2 linked regions of the Medicago truncatula genome follow. Each later gene encodes a partner of the first gene's protein in a complex. Links are inferred from orthologs where the notes say so. Each region holds a gene or a part of one and is shown on either strand. Other genes may lie near its edges.

What was found.
Region 2: the proteins of NADH dehydrogenase [ubiquinone] 1 alpha subcomplex subunit 9, mitochondrial (region 1) and NADH dehydrogenase [ubiquinone] iron-sulfur protein 7, mitochondrial are in contact, whole or in part, in a cryo-EM structure (PDB 8BEE), measured with the Arabidopsis thaliana proteins. The link is inferred for Medicago truncatula from reciprocal best matches to the Arabidopsis thaliana genes AT2G20360 and AT5G11770. Residues at the interface, in NP_565469.1 of Arabidopsis thaliana: Arg100, Gly101, Ser102, Glu103, Asp104, Arg107, Lys110, Leu111, Lys122, Thr151, Arg152, Asn153, Phe154, Pro330, Phe331, Pro332; in NP_196738.1 of Arabidopsis thaliana: Arg140, Glu148, Arg150, Trp151, Asp176, Arg177, Ile178, Val179, Pro180, Val181, Asp182, Lys205, Arg208, Arg209, His214, Trp215, Trp216, Asn217, Lys218.

What each region holds. Positions count from the first base shown.
Region 1 is NC_053042.1:33,994,188-34,005,232, reverse strand, and holds the start of NADH dehydrogenase [ubiquinone] 1 alpha subcomplex subunit 9, mitochondrial, read right to left. Parts: upstream 4,201-11,045; 5' UTR 4,096-4,200; coding exon 4,011-4,095; intron 3,916-4,010; coding exon 3,819-3,915; intron 2,270-3,818; coding exon 2,205-2,269; intron 2,094-2,204; coding exon 2,008-2,093; intron 1,860-2,007; coding exon 1,775-1,859; intron 1,675-1,774; coding exon 1,604-1,674; intron 536-1,603; coding exon 404-535; intron 1-403. Other genes in the region: ABC transporter C family member 5, read right to left, coding at 5,649-5,761, 6,871-7,110, 7,233-7,296, 7,583-7,888, 8,184-8,398, 8,810-9,104, 9,376-9,540, 9,621-10,304. UniProt on the Arabidopsis thaliana protein: Accessory subunit of the mitochondrial membrane respiratory chain NADH dehydrogenase (Complex I), that is believed not to be involved in catalysis. Complex I functions in the transfer of electrons from NADH to the respiratory chain.
Region 2 is NC_053044.1:51,498,399-51,509,676, reverse strand, and holds NADH dehydrogenase [ubiquinone] iron-sulfur protein 7, mitochondrial, read left to right. Parts: upstream 1-7,080; 5' UTR 7,081-7,166; coding exon 7,167-7,564; intron 7,565-10,456; coding exon 10,457-10,691; 3' UTR 10,692-11,014; downstream 11,015-11,278. UniProt on the Arabidopsis thaliana protein: Core subunit of the mitochondrial membrane respiratory chain NADH dehydrogenase (Complex I) that is believed to belong to the minimal assembly required for catalysis. Complex I functions in the transfer of electrons from NADH to the respiratory chain.

The sequences.
Region 1 (11,045 bases):
GTAGTAAGAATGCTATCAAACTTCCCTTTTACTTGATATTCAAGAGATTGCTAAATAAACCCCAAAACCTTAAAAATAATGAATCAATTATATTTAATTTACCATTCGCTCATAGAATAATAAAAACCAAGAAGACCAAGAATATTAAGAGTCAATACTTGGGTGGTAAAAATTATTATTGATTGGTCTGACATCTATCTCTGTCATTGAGGGTTATTTTTTTCATATCCTTAATCATTTCCGTTTCCACCCAAAAGCCTATGAAAACAAGAGAGAGAAAATATAGCCTTTCTTTGCTAAGCTTCAAATGTCAACAGAATATTAGAGAATAGTTGCTCCTTTTACATATGAAAACCGAACTAGAAATAAATTACTGGCCTAGAGAGTGAGAAACTAAATGTACCTCAGGTAATTCTCTTAAAACCGCTTCTTCGGCAGCTGCTTTACATCTAAGCATCCTGGAAGAAGATGATGGAGATGCACCTAAGCAAGAAACTTGAATGAACCTCATGATACCACCATGTTCTTTTGAAATCTGCAACGATACAATTTGAATATCAAATATCAGATCAAATTTGGAAATTCCAGATATTACAATAATAAAAAAATAATAAAAAAAATAAAAAAAAACATTCAAACTAATCAAAACCAAGCTTTGCAAGGATTGATATTGGCTCACTTAACATGCACTAAGGGCCCGTTTGGTACAACCTAAAAAAAGTGATTTTAATACTCAATATTTTAGAGATTAATTTTTAGAGATTTTTAAAAAAAGTAGAAGTTGTTGTGTTTGTTTTCCATAATGAAAATAACCTTTTCCTTAAAAAAAAATCTGTTATAAAAAATTGATTTTCTGAGAAGCTACTAAAAACAGCTTCTCATTTGAAAAAGTGATTATTTTATTCGAAAAAAAAAATGTGATTTTTTCATGAAAAAAGCTGTAACAGAGAGGCTCTAAACCAATCATTATTGTACGATTCAACCAATACTCAAATCCATTGGAGATATCACCTAAAGTTTGCAAGAGGCTTCTGAGCCCATTGAAACTGCTTTGAACCTCTAAACTGAATGCTTTCCTCAGATAAGCTCATAACTCAATCTAGTGAATCATACAATTTTCAATTGATTCGATAATCATTTCGGAAGACTTTCTTTTAAATAATTGAAACCCTGTCAGGAATGGTTACAAAACATAAGAGTCAATATGTAGCTTGAGAGTGGCACTGAACAATTTGGATATGTTATATTTTTTATGCTTGGTATCAATTTTAGTTGACCAGATCCAATAATACACAATAGATTCTTGAGAGAACATTATGGTAACCATGTCGAGTTGACTTTCTTTTTCCCCTTTCTCTCACAACTTCATGAACATCCTAAATTTCACAGTTAGCAGCGTGTTTCTCAACATTGGAGGCTACATTTAAAGTCATTTTCTTTAAAGATTTAGAATGTTCTGTTATTATTGAAAATAAACGCCAATGTACAAACACTAAGCAAATAAAATTCTCAGAGAGAGTGGTGAGTGGTTCATAATTTAAGAATAAGACATTAACACGATGATATGGGATGAGAAAAAATTAACAAATGTGAAAGAACATGCCTTTGCAAGTTTCTCGGCCATGTGATAGTGCACTTCCTCATAGCTGAAGTTTCTTGTCTCATAATCCCTTCCTGCCAACAAACAAATAAGCCAAAATGAGTATGTGATTATGAGACAAAAAATCACATACTTTCCATTATGTGAGGTTATGTGAGAATTGTGTGAGATTACCAATGAGATTGATGACAACATTGGCTCTAGCCATTACAGCTTTAACCGAACTCTCATCTCTTGGATTGAATTTCATAGGTACAATCTGGGCATATTAATCACGGGAGGATTAGCACAAATAGTGAATGGAAATAGCGCACGAATATACCACTACTTACTTTCCATTCTAATACAGAAGAAAGAAAAGACAAAAGCAGATTCTTCACAAGTATTAAAACATTTAAAAATGTTACCTGTCCTAAATCTCCCATCAGTTTGAGATGACGAGGAGAATCTTCAGAGCCTCGGAAAGGAACTAAGACTTGAGATCCCATTTTAGCTGGAAGAGGGGAATGACATCCCAAAAAAACAAGCAATACAAGATTTAAGCTTTCTTAACAATATTTGGGTAAACAATTCGTTGAAACAATTACATAACCCACAAACTTACCAAGTTGTTGAACAACATAACGACCAAGGAATCCAGTTGCTCCAAATACTGTGGCAACAATACCACTGCACAAGGATTTGCTTTCAAGATTAATTTACCAGCCATTTATGAGAACATTTAACACAGATCAAAACCTTCCAAACCCTATACTTTCTTAAAAAAGGAATGGAAGGCAAGTAAACCAAGTAAAAAGGTGAAAAGATTTTGATCCTAATCTGTAGGTTAACGAGGTTAATAAACTATAATTCATACTACAAGAAAAAATTTCAAAATAACCATTTCTATTCATTCAGAACGCAAAAAAACAAAATTGAACAGCTCCCAAGGAAAAATCAATCCTAGCCTTAAAACTGCAAGCCTACATTCGATAAATGAGAAACATTCATGATATAACTTCAAGAAGGCATAATATTAAACATCATACATCACGCTAAATAATGAACTGATGATAATACAAATGATTATTTACAGTGTCTAGTCTGTCCTAAACATGCAAAATCAATCTATAGTTGCATCCAACCAATCTTAAAACATTTTCACAGTTTGATGAACATCAGCACGTACTAAACAATGTAACCTCATTTCGTGAAAACATTATTTCAGATTGTCTCAAGTGCAGAAACTACATCCAACTAGGAAAATTTATCAAATCTTATCCTATGGATAAGTTAAGAGATGGAAATATCATCTATAAAATGTTTCTAGAGTCTAGACCACACAAATATAGGGGCCAAAGTTAACAGCTAATGGTGAAATCACCAGCAGTTGGCTTCATTGCCAGCTATGGTGCACGGACTCTGACACAACACAGATTCCGCAACATGGCTAATGTCCAAAATATAGGAGACGGAGACACTGCATACGAATATATAATTAACCTGACAAAAATCTAAATTGAGAATTAAGATTAAGGCCCTCAAAAAAAAAATATTAAGATTACGAGGAATCATTTATAATGCAATCTTATTCTTATTTCTTCACATATATAATCCTAAGATAAGAAGATGAATCATGTCTTTAATAACAAGTAATTAGTCCTATGATAATGAGCCTAATAATGAGACGTCATTGTTGTATTTGTCTCAAAAAGCATTCGATACAATCTAAGGTTAGGGAGTTCGAGAAGTGTATGGCTAGGAGCAGGTATAAGCTCAGTCTCTTGACATGTGTCCGAACCATCTTTTTAATTGAACACCAATAAGAGGTGTTTGACACATGTTCAAGGTGTGTCCGAGAAGTGTCAGTGTCTGTGCTTATGATTACAGCTTTAGTTTTTGTTTCTTGGTAATCCAAGATCAAGCAAGCTCAAAACCCATCAAAAACACTAGTTCTGCATCTATACCAAAAGTCCCAAATAAAAAAGAATTTGCAAGCCCCATGTATATACTATTCAAATATCTCTCCACATGAGCGGATTTAATATATCAAGGACTTTAATCACACTCATTTCTCTCAACAACTTCCATCAAATTCAAATACCTCACTTAATAGCTATCAAGCTCAAAACTCATATGCACAAAATGTAGAACCTAAACTAAGAGAAATGAATATTTATTTTATGAATCTTATCATAAATATCCATAAAATTATAAAAATTCAAGTAATGAAGTTAACCTGACAGATGATCTTCCACCAGTACCCTTGCGGACGAGGTGACCAACGCCCTTGGTAGCTATGGTGGAAACATAACGCTCGTGATTTACACCATAGTCTGCAATTACGATTAAAATACTTACAATTAGTTAGTTAATTAGAAATGGAATTGGGAATTAAGGATGATGCATTATACAAATTCGGAAAACGTACAGTGATCGGAAATTGGATAGCTGGATTTGAGCAAAGTTGAGGATTTCAGAGATTCGTGGCCTAAGCGTCTTGTAATAGCTTGCATCTTAGCGTTACCAAGAAGAACCTAAGCAGAGAGAGAGAGAGAGAGAGAGAACGGAACGAACACAGAGAAATGTTGATATGCTATGCTATGGAGGCCGGAAGGTGCACGATATTTGGACTAGATCTATTATTACCACCTCTTTTATTTTAAAATACACCCACCCTTTTTTTTTTTTTTTTATGAAATGGTCATCTCTATTCTCCACGTAACTGCAAAGATTAATTCATAGATCCGTTAAAAAAAAAAAACACGATGAGTGGAAAAACTCTTTGTCAAGAAGAGATTTATCATTATTGCATTTTATGGTTGGATTCGAACACATGACATCTGATTAAACTGAATGAGATCTATTATTGAATGCACCCACCCCTTTATCTAAACATTACTATGTTTTTCCATTTCATATTTTTTTTTTATAATTTATTTCTGGTTTTTCCACAATGTTAAACAAAAAAAATACTATCATTAATTGTTTTACAGATTCTTATTTTTCAAACTCTAAGGTATAGTTGAAAACAAGGATTTATTATATCTTCAATTTCTATAACATACTTTGTTTTGAAACAAAGATGGAATGCTATTGGCAAATGAAATTATAAAGATGTAAATTTTAGGAGAAAATACACACATAAAAGGTTAATTTTTGGTACACATTTATACATTCTCAAATTCTTAAAGGTATACCAACATCTCCAAAAAAAATTAGGACATATGTGAATTTTAACCAATCAACAAGAGAGATAGAGAACATGTAATTCAGAGACTGTGTTGATACTTGATGGCATACTTTGTACAATTACAGGTAGTTGCTAAACCAGCAAAGTCACTATGATTAAAGTCATACGTTTATGATTAATTGAAAATGTAACCAAATTTACACATACAACGTAAATTAAATTCGTAGAGTATTCATAATATATAATATCATATTGCAAAGGATAGTTCACTAGCAAATTACGACATTGTACAAAAGAGTTGATTACACACACTACCAGAGATGATAAAAAAAAAAATGAACAGCCAACTATGCAAAAGAGAAAATTTAAGCAATGTCATTTCTGTGGGATAGTAAATGTAGTCAAAACTTCAGCCTAGAAACGGGCTTGATTCTGCGTTGCTAACTAATAAGAAAAACGTGGAATACACAAGACTAGTTCCAACTCTAAACTTTGCTAAGCAAACACTCTACTGCCTCATTCTCAAAACTACTTTATTGTGCATACTTGATGATCCCAATTCAGACACCCCATGTTTACCTTCCTGTAACAGCGGATCATCTTACTTTTTTCTTGTAACAAAACATGTCAACCATGCATGAACTCCTCAAAAGGATGAATCAACTCATAACACTTTCAACCAGGAAACTCATTTACTCCCCCCCACTGGAGCAGTTGAGGGACACGTGTTCATTTTATGTCTCTGCGTGTGCCAATGCAGCAGTGGCAGCAACTCAAGCATCACCACTGTTTCCGCTTTTGATTGCCGCTGCCTCTGAAGGTTCTTAATCTCTTTCCACCACTAACTATGAAGATTTTCAGACATTCTCAACTTGTTTAAAAATCCGGCATGCCAGTTGATCGCGATGAATATTCAGTCACCAGCTTCAAAAACATGGATGACTTATCTTCTAATAGCCTCAATGGAGTGTCAAACTCTGCAACTAGACCTGCAAAAAATGTCAAAAGCTAACATCATGAGCACATAGTAGTGAAACATAAAAATTATATATAAAAAAAATAAAATAAATCATTTCCAGCCATCCCAAGCACTCAATTTAAAATCACATCTGCGCTCTATTTCCTTTTCATGTTGTGCATGAAATGGGAAGATAGAGAAAAGAATTATATAGATACATGTTGCTCCCTGACAGATTTAGAAGTGAGCAGACACATGTAGTAAAGTAACACGTAAGCGCACTCATAAATTGAACACATTGTCAGCCAATTTTACTATTTTTGGCATTCCGTTGACTAAAAGACTAAATTGATTTAAAACTGACACTATAACAGAATCTCGCATTAAAAAAGCAGAATCTACAACCTGCTGAACTTTCAACTCTCTTATATGACTGGTATATTTACTTTATCAGAGATGACATTTTGACACAAAAATTTGACAACAATTTAGATAGTTAACACAGTTTAAATATGTGGTTAGTACTGTCTAATGATGGTTAGTGAATATGACAAGGTGTCGCAACTCACTAACCATCTATTGAACGTAGTTAAGCATGATTTTCAACGTCATTAACCACCAAAATTTTGGTGTTCAAATATGCATAATATCCTTTTTTTTTTTTTTTGGTCAGGATGCATAATATCCTTTAACCATCCAAATTGTGGTCAAATATACATGATATCCATTAACAACAAGTTTTGTTTAAATATACACCAGAAAATAGTAGTTAATGACATTTAAAACAATGGTAAATTATGTCCAGTGGATGGTTAATGAGTTGTGACACCTTGCTATTTTCGTAAACCATCCACTTGAATGTAATTAATCGAATATATGAACTATGTTACTATCCAAATTATTGTCAAATTTAGGTGTCAAAAAACACAACTCATACTTTATTTTGTTTGGGACATGAATGTTTACTTTCATGGAACAATTTCTCAAAGCTGCAACAGAAAACAAAGAGGTATATTGATGTGATTTCAACATTTAACTTGAAAAAATTGTTTACTGTCCTGTTGGACAAAGCAAAGCCTAAAAGCAATTTTACTGCAAAAAAGAAAGAAAAGCCAAAGAACAGTATAAAACGATACGTACCATCACTGAGTACCAGGACAAGATCACTGTCAATAACAGTAGGAATACGATGAGCAATAGTGCACACAGTACAGTCTCTGAACTCCTCTCGGATAACCTTCTGGATAAGATTATCAGTAGCACTGTCAACAGAAGCTGTTGCTTCATCAAGTACAAGTATCTTTGACTGCTTGAGCAGAGCTCGGCCAAGAGCAACAAGTTGCCGCTGTCCTACACTCCAATTATCACCATTTTCTAGCACTGCGAATTTGAAACAAATCATAAGATACCCGTGACTCAACATTTTACCTTCCCTTTTTCTTTTTCAGGGGTTGGTGAAGAAAAGATACCGGGAATATTCCAGTATTTTGGTGGTCTCTTACCTGGTGTATCAAGCTTTTGTCCTTTCTCACGAATGATCTCTCCAAGCTGAGACTTATCTAGTGCCTATGAGAAGTTAAACACAAAGCAATCAAAATTAGAACCACCTACTCTTACATAAGATAGCCATAATTTTCAAATAACAAGGACTATTCAATTATTTTCTTATGCTATTAGATTTATAAGGAGTGAAAATCATAAGTGGATTTGGAAACTAATTCAATCATCTAACAATAAAATAGCATTACTAAGTTAAAAATTACACAAATTTTGTGCAATTATTTAAATGAAACTATCTTTTGTGCAATTATTTAAATGAAACTATCTATCTAAATAATACTATTATACTAACCTCCCAAATCTCTTTATCAGAATGCTCTTCAAGAGGATCCAGATTGCCTCGAATGGTGCCTTCAAATAAGGTTGGATCTTGTGGTATGATACTCAAATGGCTCCGAAGGTCATGAAGGCCAATTCCCGAGATATCAATGTTGTCTATAAGGATACTCCCGGCTGCTGGTTCAACCAATCGAAATAACGCCTGAATCAAAGTAGATTTGCCACTGCCAGTTCGTCCAACTATTCCAATCTTCTTCCCACCAGGAAATGTGCAGGATACTCCATGAAGCACCATGGGAAGATTTTCCTTGTAACGAACCTTCAAGAGAGAGACAGTAGAGGGAAAATGAGGTGGATCATCGCCAGAAAGAGGCAATTGCAGTAGAAAAATCACAATAAAGATTTTGATGCAATGCACATTTCTAAGAGTTTGGATTAGACTCTAATGTTGTGCAACAGAAGAAAACATAAGAATCTTCCCGCACTCAAAATTTTTTAAAATAAATAAAAATTAAAATGGCTAAAATCAAAATTAAATGCGGTAGAATAGACATGAACTACTTGGTGCTGAACAAAGAACAAAGAGCATATTTAATGTGAAACTTAGATGGTACCTTCAGATCAATTAGTTGAATTGTCCCATTCACTGGCCATGAGGGTGGAGGGCGAAAATCTTCAATAAGTGGTGGTGCTTCACTAGGAATTTGACTGTACTGATAAATCCTTTCAATAGATATAATTTTATTTTCAAGTTTACAAAAGCTTAGTATCCAGCGAGACAAACGTCCATTTAAATTCAGGCCATACGTCACAGCAAGTCCAGCCATACCTATAAGCAGAAAAGTAACAGTAATTAGCAACAGAACATTGTTTACTATTGCATTCTGCTTGGTTCCAAACCATCACTTAAGCCCTTTCCTATAACACAATCTAATACCATATACACCTGCTTTAAGTGAAATTGAAATGCAAAAGAACAAAATCATACACCAAGTATGAGCTATCAGTAGACTATTCTATGTGATAAACAAATTCAACAGTAAAGACCTGAGTCGTAACAATAGTGCGAAACAACTATGTGAACAGAATCAAAATAGTAAAGATTCCATAGGAATCATTTCTAGTAGTAACTACTTCAAATAATACTACATGACTTTGTTTTGACAAAATATACTACATAACTCAATCCTCCAGGATTTGACATCATGAAAATTGGGAATCAATCAGGAAAAAAACTCACTGGGGTCAATACTTCCACGGGGAAAGCTCACGAGTAATACCATGCAGAAAGCAAATACAAAAGTTGAAAGCAATTCCATGCGTAGGCAGAGCCACTCAATAGCTGCAAGACTGCAAAAGAATGGTCGTGCAAAACAATCCAGAAGATAGAGGTTCCTCTTCAAGAACCTTTTTTCTTGTCCAAAACCTCTGATGGTGGCTGCTCCAGCAATTGATTCACCAAAAAGTTGTATAATTGGAGATTTCTGGATGCTTACAATACGTACAAGTTCCCTTGAAGAAGCCATGTAGTATTTCTGCAATTAATTAATGGTCAAATATTAAGCCACAGCATTGGGAGTTAGGAAAACACAAAATGCAATATATTAATGGAGGATTTCTAGTCCTTCGTCAATGTATCTTCTCTGTACCCCTTGAATAAAAAATTTCCTTAACAGAAAAATAATGAATAGGAACTTTATGATAAATGGGGTTTATTTTATCCTTCATGGCTTGATTTTCAGCTAAAGAAATCTTTTTGAAAAGCAGATTGAAAGATTAAAAAATAGGCTTATGATTTCCGATTACCTGCATCCACAAACAGACAATTGCCATTGGGACTACTAGGAGCAAAACTTGCCATGTAACTTCTGACATTACAGCAACAATGCCAATAAGTTGTATCGTTGATGAAGCAAACCCTCCAAGTCTAAAAGGAATGTCAAGATCCACAACACTTTGATCAATTGAAACCTGAGGGAATAAAGGTAGTTCATTATATGATGTAGAGAGACAAAAACAAAAGAGGAGTGGGAAACAACGAGAAAACTTACACGATTCAGGATCCTTCCAGCTGGTGTAGAGTCAAAGAAAGACATTGGTGCATGGAAAATACTCCTAAGCATGTTAAAAAACAGCTTCTGTGCAGCTGCTAGACCAAATGTAGCCACGAGAACGGCCCTAACAAATATGAAGCATGAGCTGCCAAAGGCAAGGGCCATGTAAACAAGAAGAAGAGTCGTGGGAGTTACTTTGGGCTCGTCTCCTTCTGTTTGAGGATTCGCCCAAGCCATCCACCAATTGCTGGCAATCTGAAGGAACTGAAATAATGTTTGTGCAATGATTATGAGGGGAATCAGTAAGCCTTTATAGGCGGCTGCCATGTAGGTCAGGTACACCTTCATGCTGACTCTACCTCTAACCCTCTCCTCTTCTTGAACAAGCTGTTTTTTTCTTGAGCGCTTTGCCTTCTTCTTTTCCTTTATTTCTGACGATCCCTCGTGAACTTCCTTCGCCAAACTGGCAATATCATTTACAGAAGAAATAGATTTCTTACTGGTCCTAATAGGTGCATCCAACGACTCATTTTCATCTGAATCTTCTGAGGATGAGTGAGTAGGAATGTCCATTGCCTCTATTGCTTCATGGTGAGCTGAAACTAGAGATCTAAAATCTGTTCCTGCCTGTAAAAGGTCATCATACTTTCCTGCCTGTATGATCTGGCCTTCTTTAAGAACCTTCAAAATTGGACAAAAAAATAATAGTAATTGAGAAAACTACTTTCACTTTATACCAACCACATTTTTAAGATGTAAGATAATAAAGGATTCTTCTTAGTCTTTGAAAGAATTAAACATCATTATAGACAAAGATAAATACGACATGTAGGCAACTAAAGAAACTAAGGATCAATGTTGAAACAAAACAATGTAGCTAAATTTAGAAATATTGTTAGAAAGTATCAGCAATACATTCAATTACCATAATGGCCAATTGATACGAGTAACGAGTTTCTCTCAGGAGGAAGCTGCTATAAAACAGAACAATATCGGGTTTCACTCCTGAGCCTTAGTCTTGCACAAAGCAATTAAATATGGACCCAAAAGTCATACGTTTTCCTTCTGACTTGTATTATAGCTGTCAACATCTCATGTCATATCCTATATATAACAATAATTTCACACATGTTTCCCTACAATATCTCCAAAGTAAGAGTCTGATTTTTTTTCATATTAAATACAGTGGGAAAATCAACCACAATTCCAGTTATTACACACATACAGCCTACAAATTTGACAGACTAATGAACTCAAACCAAGATCATAGTATAAAGAGAAAGAATTAAGAACCCAACCAGGATATGCAAGGAGAAACAATGCATCACACTGAAATAGTAGAGAGCAACAGCCACCCCTGATCATACAGGGAATATATAACTCTCAAATGCAAAAGAGTTATACCGTAATTTAAAATAATTT
Region 2 (11,278 bases), on another chromosome or scaffold:
GAAGCATCAAGGAACACTAAGGCCGCAACTGAGCTAGATTTTGAAGATGAGAATGGAGACTCTGATTTTCTAGAAAGTTGTGAATCAAGTGAGGATGATGGTATTGAAAGGAAAAAGAAGAAATACAATAGGTTTAAGTTTCTTGGAAATGATGAGACTGTGATATTTGAAGAGGGACAGATTTTTGCAACTACTTTGTTAATCAAAAATGTTGTGAAAGAATATGCTCTACAGAACAAGAAGAATGTTCACTTGAAGAAAAGTGAGAAAATGATAATTATTGTGAAGTGTAGTGATGGATGTCCGTATCACATGAGATTCAGTAGGGTTCCACCTCAAACTTTTTATGTGTTGTCTAGTTATAATTCAGCACATACATGCACTAATACTGGTAGAGTAAGACTGTTAAGAACAAAGTTGCTGGCTAAGAAGCTGGTACCAACCTTGAGACACACACCTGATATGACCATTAAGGCACTACAAGATTTGTGTAAGCGTAACTGGTATGTGATTCTTACTAGATTTCAGATGTATATGGCAAAATTGAAGGCTTTAGAGATGATACATGGGGCTAGTGAAGAGCAATATGCTCATCTTAGAAACTATGCAGAAGAGCTTTTAAGAAGTAATCATGGGAGTTCTATGAAGATTAAATGTAAAGAGACAACTAGGGGTTTTGCATTTCAGAGAATATATGTTTGTTTTGCTGCTTGCAAGAGGGCCTTTGTCCAAAGATGCAGACCTTTGATAGGGTTGGATGGTTGTTTTCTGAAAGGGAGGTATGGTGGAAAGTTACTATCAGCAATTGGGAAAGATGGTAACAATCAAATGATCCCCATAGCATTTGCTATTGTGGAAGCTGAAACCAAAGAGAGTTGGGACTGGTTTATTGAACTACTGCTTTCAGATTTGAATGGCATTCAATGCAAAAGATGGTCTTTCATATCAGATCAGCAGAATGTAATTTTCTAACTATTTACTTATTTTTATGCTCTTATCTTAATATTATGTAGATTAATTTTGTATTGTTTGTAATGATGAAGGGTTTGGTGAATACAATAGCTTCTATTGGTGATAATGTTGAGCACAGACTGTGTGTGAGACATTTGTTTGGGAATTTTAGGAAAAGACATCCTGGTGAGCGCTTAAAAGAAGCTTTGTGGGCTGCAGCTAGGGCAAATACTATGCCTGATTTTAACAGGGCTATGGACAAACTGAAAAGTTTTAGTGAGGTAGCTTGGGATGAGATGAAACAATATCCACCAGGTATGTGGAGTAGGGCATGATACAAGACTCACACATGTTCTGACTTACAAGTCAATAACATGTGTGAGGCATTTAACTCTTCAATCATTGAGTTAAGATAGCAACCAGTTATTTCACTTATTGAGGGACTAAAGTTTTATATAACTAATATGATAGTTAGATTAAGGGATTACATGTTGAGGTATTCTGGTGATATTTGTCCAATGATCAAAAAGATATTTGACAAGGCTAAGAAGGATGCAAATAATTGGTCACCAACTTGGCATGGTGATAGAGAATATGCTCACTTTAGTGCTTCTGATGGAAGTGATATGTATGTGATTAATGTCAAAGAGAGGACCTGTTCATGTAGAAGGTGGGAATTAAGTGGTATTCCTTGCCCACATGTTGTTGCAGTAATCTACTACGATAGCCAAAACCCAGATGAATATGTGGCACATTGGTATAGGTGAGTTGTGATTTTATATGCTTTATGTATTCTTAATTTAAGTGGTTAATTAAGTATAATTTGGTTGGTTTCACATGACAGGAAGCAAACTTTCTTGGATACATATGATAATTTTATCATGCCTTCAAATGGACGAAAGATATGGCCAGAAGTGAACCTTCCACCAATACTGCCACCTCCAGTCAGAAGGGCACCTGGGAGGCCAAAGAAGCTTAGAAGGAAGGATAATGATGAGCCTAAGTCAACAACTAGCAAGAAGGGAAAGAGAAATCAGGACACTGTGAGGTTCACAAGATGTAAGGAACTTGGACATAACATGAGGACTTGTAAGGGTAAAACAGCTACTGATAGGTCAATTAAACCTGGAGGGAACAAGTTAATAACACAGTTTCTGTTGTTATAACACTTTCTGATAGATAACACATGATCTGATATATAACACACTTTGTGATATTGTAGGATAATACTGATATTCAACACCCTGAGGCTTCAAATGCACAAGCTTCAAATGCACAACACTCAAATGCACCTGCAACTGCTACTGCTGGTACAAACAACCATGCTGGTTCTGTAACTGCTGCTCATGTAACTACTACAACCAGTAACACATCTGGTAAGCATGTTATTGTTGGTGATTCATCCTTGTTTGTGCCTAGAAGGTCAAGGTTTGCTGGAGCTAAAAGGAAAAGTGATGAGATGGCAACTGTGGGGACTCAACAATCAGTGAACAAAAATTAAGTTAGGAATGGCAATTAATGACAATGAGACTGATGTTATATTTTGATTAATTTAGGTTATTTAATGTCAAGTACTCTTTATCTTATATTTTGGTTAATTTTGGTTATGTAAGGTTAAGTACTCTAAAGTACTGGTTATGATCTTTTGGTTAAGTTCTTTGTTTTGGTTATGGTTATGTAAGGTTAATGCACTTTTTAAACCTATGTCATCTTAAGTACTCTAATGTTAAATACTCTTCATGTATTTTGTATTTGGTGAATGTGAAGTAATACTATGTTAACTTCGTTTGAATGTCAAGTATTTAAGTACTATAATGCACTAAACTTTGCCAAAACATAAAACCTGTTTCATTAATTCTTTGCCAATAGCAGAGATTACATCAAAATCATAGCAACATTACATAACTGAAACATTACATCATACCAATATTACATCAATCCATAAGTTAACCAAGCTTAATGAAAATCACAAACAAACTTAAAAACAACAACATCCCTAAAACTACAATTGTTAACTCCAACTTTTTCTCCTTCTTCTTCATTGAATCATTCTTCTTCAAAAGTCCTCTAATTAATTTCTTCTGCCTCTCAGGCACTTCTGGATCAAACCATCTGAAAAAACTGCATTTTTCTTCTCTGGAAATACTTTCCACAACCATGGAACCTCCTTCCTGGATTTTCATTTGTCCAAGCCGTGACTAGAGGTGATTCAACACCACAATAACAAACCAACCTTGATTTGGCCATACTTGATGACCCAGAAACAGTTGAAGATGAATTGTTACCAACCATTTTCTGTTTTCCGATCTGCAAACACACAAAACAAATCGATGTGGAACTAAGAAAGGAGGTAGAGGAAGAATCGATGTGGAAGAAAGGAGAAGAATGGTTGAATAAGATGGTTGAAGAAGAACAGATGAAGGTTCGGTTATGGAGAAGAACAAATGAAGGTTCGGTTATGGTCGAATAAGATCAAGAAGAACAGATGAAGAAGAAGGGTTGAAGAATTGGGGGGTTTTTAAGGTTGGAGTTTTTTGCCGTCGGGAACTCTCACGTGCTCTCACGTGCCAACACTTTATATATATATATATATATATATATATATATATATATATATTTTATTCAAGTATTACACAAGTGGCCTTTTGAATAAAAATAAATGGGAAAATACACATGTGGCATGACACCTTCGCGTTGACCCGGTCAAAATTGACCAAAAGGTCTCTTTTGCAAATGGGCTAAAACATAGGGGTTTAAATTTTCATTTTTTTAATAGGGGGCCAAAATCGCACCATTGTGAAAGTTAGAGGGTTAAAACTGCAGTTTAACCTTTTATTTTTAACGAATTTGCATTGCATCGATATACTCTATCAATTTGAATGAATATCGTTTATTTTGTCAAAAAAACAAATCTCTAGATCAATTTCAATAATTATAAATTGACCAACCCAAAAATAAATCGAATGAAAATAAGCAAAATTTGATAAAATTGTGCATTTTAAGAAATATAGTATTTTTTCCTCAAAAAAGAAAGAAAGAAATATAGTATTTTTTTTTTTTGTAAAACTTAAGAAAGACGGCTGATTACATTTCTCGTAAAAAATTATGTCTATTGACTAAATTATCCTTCGTGGATGATAAATTGATTCATAGAAAATCAAAATTGAATAAAATTAAATGCAATTAAGAAATACTATCATTAAATAAGAGAGAAATAGTTAAAATTCGCTTATATTTCTTTTTGGATGGAGTATTATGATAATAGAAGATGTACGAATCGAGAATCCAGCTCTACTTATTTACATTTTTGAAGGGGAAGAAAATGAAACAAGAAGAGAACAAGTATCAGGAGGAGACATCTCACAAAGTCAGTGCAAGCTTGACTTGTTTGTTTTCAATTCGCCTTAATTTTGACTTTTTATGTAAAGATGTTTATATCACTTCATTAATAATAACGTCAAGATAGAAGTGTTAATATCAATCAAATATGGATGTGAGCTAAAAATGTGATTGTTTTACAAGACAGTTGCCTCATTAGCTTGCCTCCTAATAAACTCAACATGTGAGTTTTGAATTTATTTCAAAGAAAAGAGCACTACGATCTAGTAAAGTGACACCTAACTCAAAGTTTCTCCTTACGAAATTTGTCCACCGTAATTTTGAAGTCCTTCTCAAAACCAACAAGTTCTATGTTAGTGAAGAAAACCATTCCATTTTGGCAAGAAAGAAGTTACCGTATGTTATCATCTCTTATGCAAATTCTAATTCCAACTCTTTTAAGTTGAGTTGAAAATTTGCTCAAAAAAAAAAAAGTTGAGTTGAAAATGATGCATCGATGTTGCATTTGAACTGAACTGGATCTAGTTTCTTCCCACCGTCAACAAAAATACAAGTTGGAACATTTTGCTTCGAACGAAACTTTTGCGCCCCGCCAATCTTCCAATAAATACTTTCTTCGTAACAACCCTTAGTTAGATGTCTTTGCTATTCCGGATCATGTTGTTGTGTTGTTTCCAAAGACATATTTGCAAATACTCATAAAGTATATGAAAGTCGTCTCCAAGTACATAAAACATTGTCGATTAGTCCCAGAGCCGTTTCTAAAATTTGGTGGCTTAGGACGAACCTATAACTTGGATCCTTAATAATAATTACATAGGAAAATTTAAATTTTCAAAGTGTGAAAATAATTTACTTAGGCTCAGTTTGGTAAAAATAAGCTATAAGCTAACTGATAGCTGATGACTGATAGCTGATAGCTTATAGCTGAAAAGGATTTTTTTTTTTTTAATATACATATAGACACACACATTTTTTTGTAATGTTTTTTTTTCTAATATTTTTAATTATAGTTAAATATGTTTTTGATCCCTGTAAATATTCAAACTTTTGGTCTTAGTCTCCATAAAAAAATTCTTCGACCTTTAATCCTAAAAAAAAATTCACCGACAATTTTGATCTCTGCTTTATGAATCCCAAAAATAAAAGAAAGGTGGAAACAAAATGTGAGCTAGAATATATAAAATTTTACAACGTACAATAGACTAGTTATTTTTTCCTTTAAAAGAAAAAATAGGCTAGTTATTTTTTGTGTGGTGTACAGCAGGTTAGTTATAGCAAAATATAAAACATTTCCTTAAAATATATATATATATATAAAGTGCTCCTTAAAAAAAAAACAACGTGACATTTTTTTTAAGGAAAAAAATGGGGCGGTTATAAAGATGAACATGAATAGTTGTTTAATTAAAAAAATAATTAATTTAAATTAATAAGGTTAAAGTTGGAAGAAAATATAAAAAGCTACCAGCTATAAGCTAAAAAGTTACTTGAAATAACTTTTTAAAAAACGCTATAAGCTCATGAAAAAAACGTGTTACCAAACACGTCACGTTTTCATCTAACGAGCTTATAAGTTAATCCAACAAGCTATAAGCTAGCTTTTTTGGGTTAACAAACACAGCCTTAAAGAGGATAGTTTTTACTACATTAAAAAATTATCTAGTAAAAACATCAAAATTCATACAAAAAAAAATATAAAGTTTTTTATTTGATATTCAAATGCTTATACAAAATTTGGGTAATAATTATAGATGCAACGTGACTAATGAATATTTTAGATGCAAAGTGACTAATGATTAATAATTGTGGCAACATCAATATGTTCTATCATATCTTTCTCAATATAAAAAATGGCATTCAATCTTTCTTATTACATTAATTTTTTGAGAAATTTTTCAATAATTTTAACTTCGAAAAACTTCTTTTGATTTTGAAGGAAGAGTTTGGGATGGTGGAAGGCTAGAAATTTGAACCTCCTTTTTAACATCACGATAAATTATAAATGGGTCAACAAAGAACTAAACTCGTTACTATCAACCACACATTCCATTAGAATTTAAGTAATTTTTTTGGGCCTAATGAACCTCTAATTTTTTTTTTGTTGGGACCTAAATTTCGTACTTATATTTTGGAGCCTAGAATCGTCCTACTCGGCCCCACATCAGATACGACCCTGATTAATTTTAAACATGTTAATAATAAAGATTAAATTGAAGATTTTTATTTTCGTTAGGATTGCTTATCATATTTATATAATTTATGATTGAATTGAAGAGAGAATGTTGATATAAACTCTAAATAGTTTATTATCTAAGTGTTTATGAAATACAAGTTTCAAAAGTGACCAAGTCAATTCCTAAAAAAAAAAAAATAGTGACCAAGTCAAATAAAGTTTTGGTTTAGTAAAAAAAGGACATATTAAAATTAAATTATTTGATAAAATTAATCTTTTGAAGCGATTAATAAATATAAAATGATATAAAAAATAAATGATTGTTAAATTTTTTATAAAATAGATTTATAAATATTCTTTACTTAAAATATTTATTTTTAAAATTTAATTTGGATACAAATAATATAATTTTTTTACATTGACATTCACTTAAATTACTCTGATATTATTTTTTAAAAGAGAAAAAAAAAAGTTATCAAAAAATAATTGTATAAATATAATTTCTCTAACGAATGTGCTACATAAAATCAATATTGTAAAGTTTGGGGGTCGGTTTGTAAAAAATTAGTGATGGAGCACGGTGCACCACGTCGCCTAACAAAAACAGTTTGGCTGTTGCATTCTCCATCCATAAACAACAAACAGAAGGAAGAAGAAGAACGAGGGAGAAAGAACGGTGCTCTCGAAGCAACAAACAACCATGGCGGCATTTCTAACTCGAACATCTTCACGCTTCTCACAATTGTCATCACCACAACGCATAGCGTCTCTTCACACAACCCTCCCATCTCTCTCATCAACCACACCCACCCCTTATGCTCCACCGCCTCCTCCATCGACTACCTCTCCCGTCGGAATATCGAAGACGGCGGAGTACGTGATCTCGAAGGTTGATAATCTCATGAATTGGGCTCGTACTGGCTCAATCTGGCCTATGACTTTCGGACTCGCGTGTTGTGCTGTTGAAATGATGCATACTGGTGCTGCTCGTTACGATCTGGATCGATTTGGTATCATTTTTCGACCTAGTCCTCGTCAATCTGATTGTATGATTGTTGCTGGTACTCTTACCAATAAGATGGCTCCTGCTCTTCGCAAGTATGTTTCCTTCCCCCTTTTCTAGGGTTTTTTACTTTCTTATTGAGATTTGTTTATTGTTGGCGTAATTCATATTGTTTGCCCCCAATATAAGAGTTGATTTGTTTATCTTGTTAGAAATGTGTATTTTGAATCTACGACGAAGAATGTTCAAACTCTAAATTGCCCTCTTGATTTAGGTCTTGTTTGGATAAACAACATAATTAAGCTCTTATTGTTTAAGTGCTTGTGTGTAAACTATTTGTATAACAAAAGATTCGAAAAGTCAATTTTTTTTTCCTTCATATAGATGAAAGTTGTTTTCATTAGCTATCTTGGGGAGGTTATGGAAATAAGCTGAAAACAGCTTATGGACATGTCATGAGTTGGTTTCATAAGCTCGTATCCGAATTAGTTTTGCAAGTGTTTGTCCTAATAGATAAGCTCAATTCTCAAATAAGATTTAATTGTGAAAATTATAATGTTTCGTTTCTTTTGATTCCATATTATGTTATCATGAATTGCTTCGGTATATTCTGCTTGTAGGACACTAATAGCTAGGGAAAAAAAATTAGAGCACTCACTACCTTCAAAATACCAAAGATAAGCACTAAACAGAATAACTTAAAACAAACACATTCTGCCTGTAGGACACTAATAGCTAGGGGAAAAAATTAGAGCACTCACTACCTTCAAAATACCAAAGATAAGCACTAAACAGAATAACTTAAAACAAACACTGTAGTCTGCAGACTCTTTGAAGGGTCTGCTTCTTACCTGCCAAGTGTGCAGGTCATTGCAATTCCTATCCACTCCCCTGAACTAATTATCTTTTCCCCATTTATATTTCCCTTGTTTCCCCCTACGAGCTTCTAATTCCCTTCTACAGTTGTCCTTCCTAGTAATATAGACTTAAGTCATAGGGGTTGGCAACCAAATAGTCTTCTCTATGTGCTCGAATGTTGTTGTGGAAATCATTTCAATTGAATTTGAGCGATGTCACTGCATGTTAGAAGAGGTTCGTATGTGGATATTTATTGTCTCACGTTTAATATGAGGGGTGTGAAATGTGAACTTTCCATGTCTACAAAAATGTTCAATTGGGTCTGGTTGTTAAAGAAAAGTGTGATGTATGTCACTTTTGAAGTTTATATGATTTTGCTATTAATTACTATAGGGCGCTCATCTTTATCTATCAACCGTTGATATATCATTGGGGTAATTGTCACTTTGGCCCCTGAACGTGTAATGAGTCCCTGAATGTATCGAAATTCCAAAACAGTCCCTGATTGTGCATTTCGTTTGTCAAAATAGTCCCTCGCGTTAAAATGTTTTGTTAATACTGTCATACCAGTCCCTCAATATACTTACTGTCATATCAATATTTATAAGTACTTGCTTGTTGTCATATCAATCCCTATATGAAAAGAGTTATTGTCAACATTGAGGGACTATTTTAACGTCATGGACTATTTTGATTAATGAAGCGCATAATCAGATATTATTTTGGAAGTTTGTTACATTGAAGGACAATTGTGGCCACTCTTTACACATTCGGGGACTAAAATGACTATTATCTTATCATAGGCTGCTTCAATATATTCTGCCTGTTCGGAGACTAACAGCTAGGGAAAAGGAATTAGAGCACCACCGCTCTATTAATGAAATCTTCCAAAGCTTTTTTTTTTTTTTTTTATAAGCAAAATACATCACTAGGAGTACTCAATCCGTTTACAACAAAATAGTGTTAACCACTTTGAAGACATGCCAAAGGGTAATTGCACCAAGAGGAGAAATTAAAGCATGTTCTGGCTTCAGTTCTAGCTAAAAACCAAGCCCATGACAATGTTTTGATACTATAAAAAACAACAGATTCTTCTGCTGCTGTTGATTTTGGCATAGTATCAAATAATATTATCAAAATACCGAAGATAAGCACCAAATAGAAAAACATGAGGACAGACACTGTAGTCTGCAGACTCTTTGAAGAGTCTGCTTCTTTCTTACCTTCCCAATCCTCATTCAAACTTTGAATGTTCTCTCCTCTCTCTTTCATATCTTATCATTCCATTTCACTAGCAGAAGGAGGTTCCATTTACCTCCCAAGTGTGCAGGTTATTGCAATCACAATGTGCTCCCCAAATGAGGTTCCATTTACCTCCCTGTTTATATTGTTTCACATTACCCCCATATGAGGTTCCAATTCCCTTCTACAGGTCTTTCTTCCCAATAATACACACTTAAGTCATAACGGTTGGCTAACAGACATTCTTCTCTATGTGCTCGAATGTTGTTGTAGAAATCATTTCAATTGAATTTGAATGTGACTGCATGTCGGAAGAGGTTCATATGTGGATAATGATTGTCTCACACTGAATGTGAAGTGTGAGGATTCTATCTCTACGAAAATGTTCAGTTGGATCTGATTGTTGCAGAAAGAATGTGATTTATGTCTCTTTTTAATTTTAATATAATACTATTTTTCCTTTTTCGGAAGGAAAAATATGATTCTATGATGCCAAACTTTAGCCTGCCCATCTTTATCTATCATTGTATCATTACTCAGATTGCTGTTCCACTTATAGGACTCTGTTACTTCTTTTTTTTTATTTCTATTGTGAATTTGTTTTTAATCACTTGAGATTTAGGAGTGGATCCTCTTATTTTAAAATTTCATGCGACCTTGTCATATTAAAATTGTGTTTATTTCTATTGTGAATTTGTTTTTAATCACTTGGAAAATTTGGAGTGGAACTTCACTCATCTGATTGCCTTTAGTAATTAATAATTAATTTTAATTTGCTTTTCTACATTCCGTTACCCGCGAAACTTGATTAATATTCTGTCTTGGACTTGGTCCATTAAGCCAGTTAAATATACAGTTCTCAAGTCAATGCTGACGAAACATTGCAGGGTGTATGACCAAATGCCTGAGCCTAGATGGGTTGTCTCCATGGGAAGTTGTGCTAATGGAGGAGGATACTACCACTACTCTTACTCTGTTGTCCGAGGATGTGACAGAATTGTTCCTGTTGATATTTATGTTCCCGGCTGCCCTCCAACTGCTGAGGCTTTACTGTATGGACTCCTCCAACTGCAGAAGAAGATCAATAGGCGCAAGGACTTCCTCCATTGGTGGACTCAGTGAGGTCGATTAAGTTTATTCCTTGGCACCAATCTACTTTATAATAAGCAATTCATGGTTGTTTTACCTTGCTATGAATCACCCTTTGTTTGGTGGATATTCTGTTGATATGTTACCTTATGATGTATTATGCTGTATGTTTTATGTGGAGCTTTTTGGGGGCTTAAAGTCTTGGAGAAATTGAATGTTTCTTATAATATTAATGCTTCTTATGTACTAGGATTAAACAAACCACTCGTGTTTGACTCATAAGTTACAATGTGTGCTTTGATAAGTCTCCGTCTTGCTTACTCCAGATTAATGGTGTAACTTTGATTATTTTGGAATGGGAACTGATGTTTTGTTCCATTCATCTCTCCTCCTCCTGCACCACGTGTCCATGCCAAAAAATCAATACAGTTTACAAAACAGTGATGGTAACTGTGACCTTGAGTCCCATAGCCTCATCGATGATGACGACAAATAGGGAAAACTTCGAACTATTTTATGAATACCTACATGTAATTTTTTTTTTTAGAATTAAATATGATAATCGTTCCTGTAATTTGGTCTCGTTTTGATTGTCGTCCCCGTAAAAAACGAAAATTTGA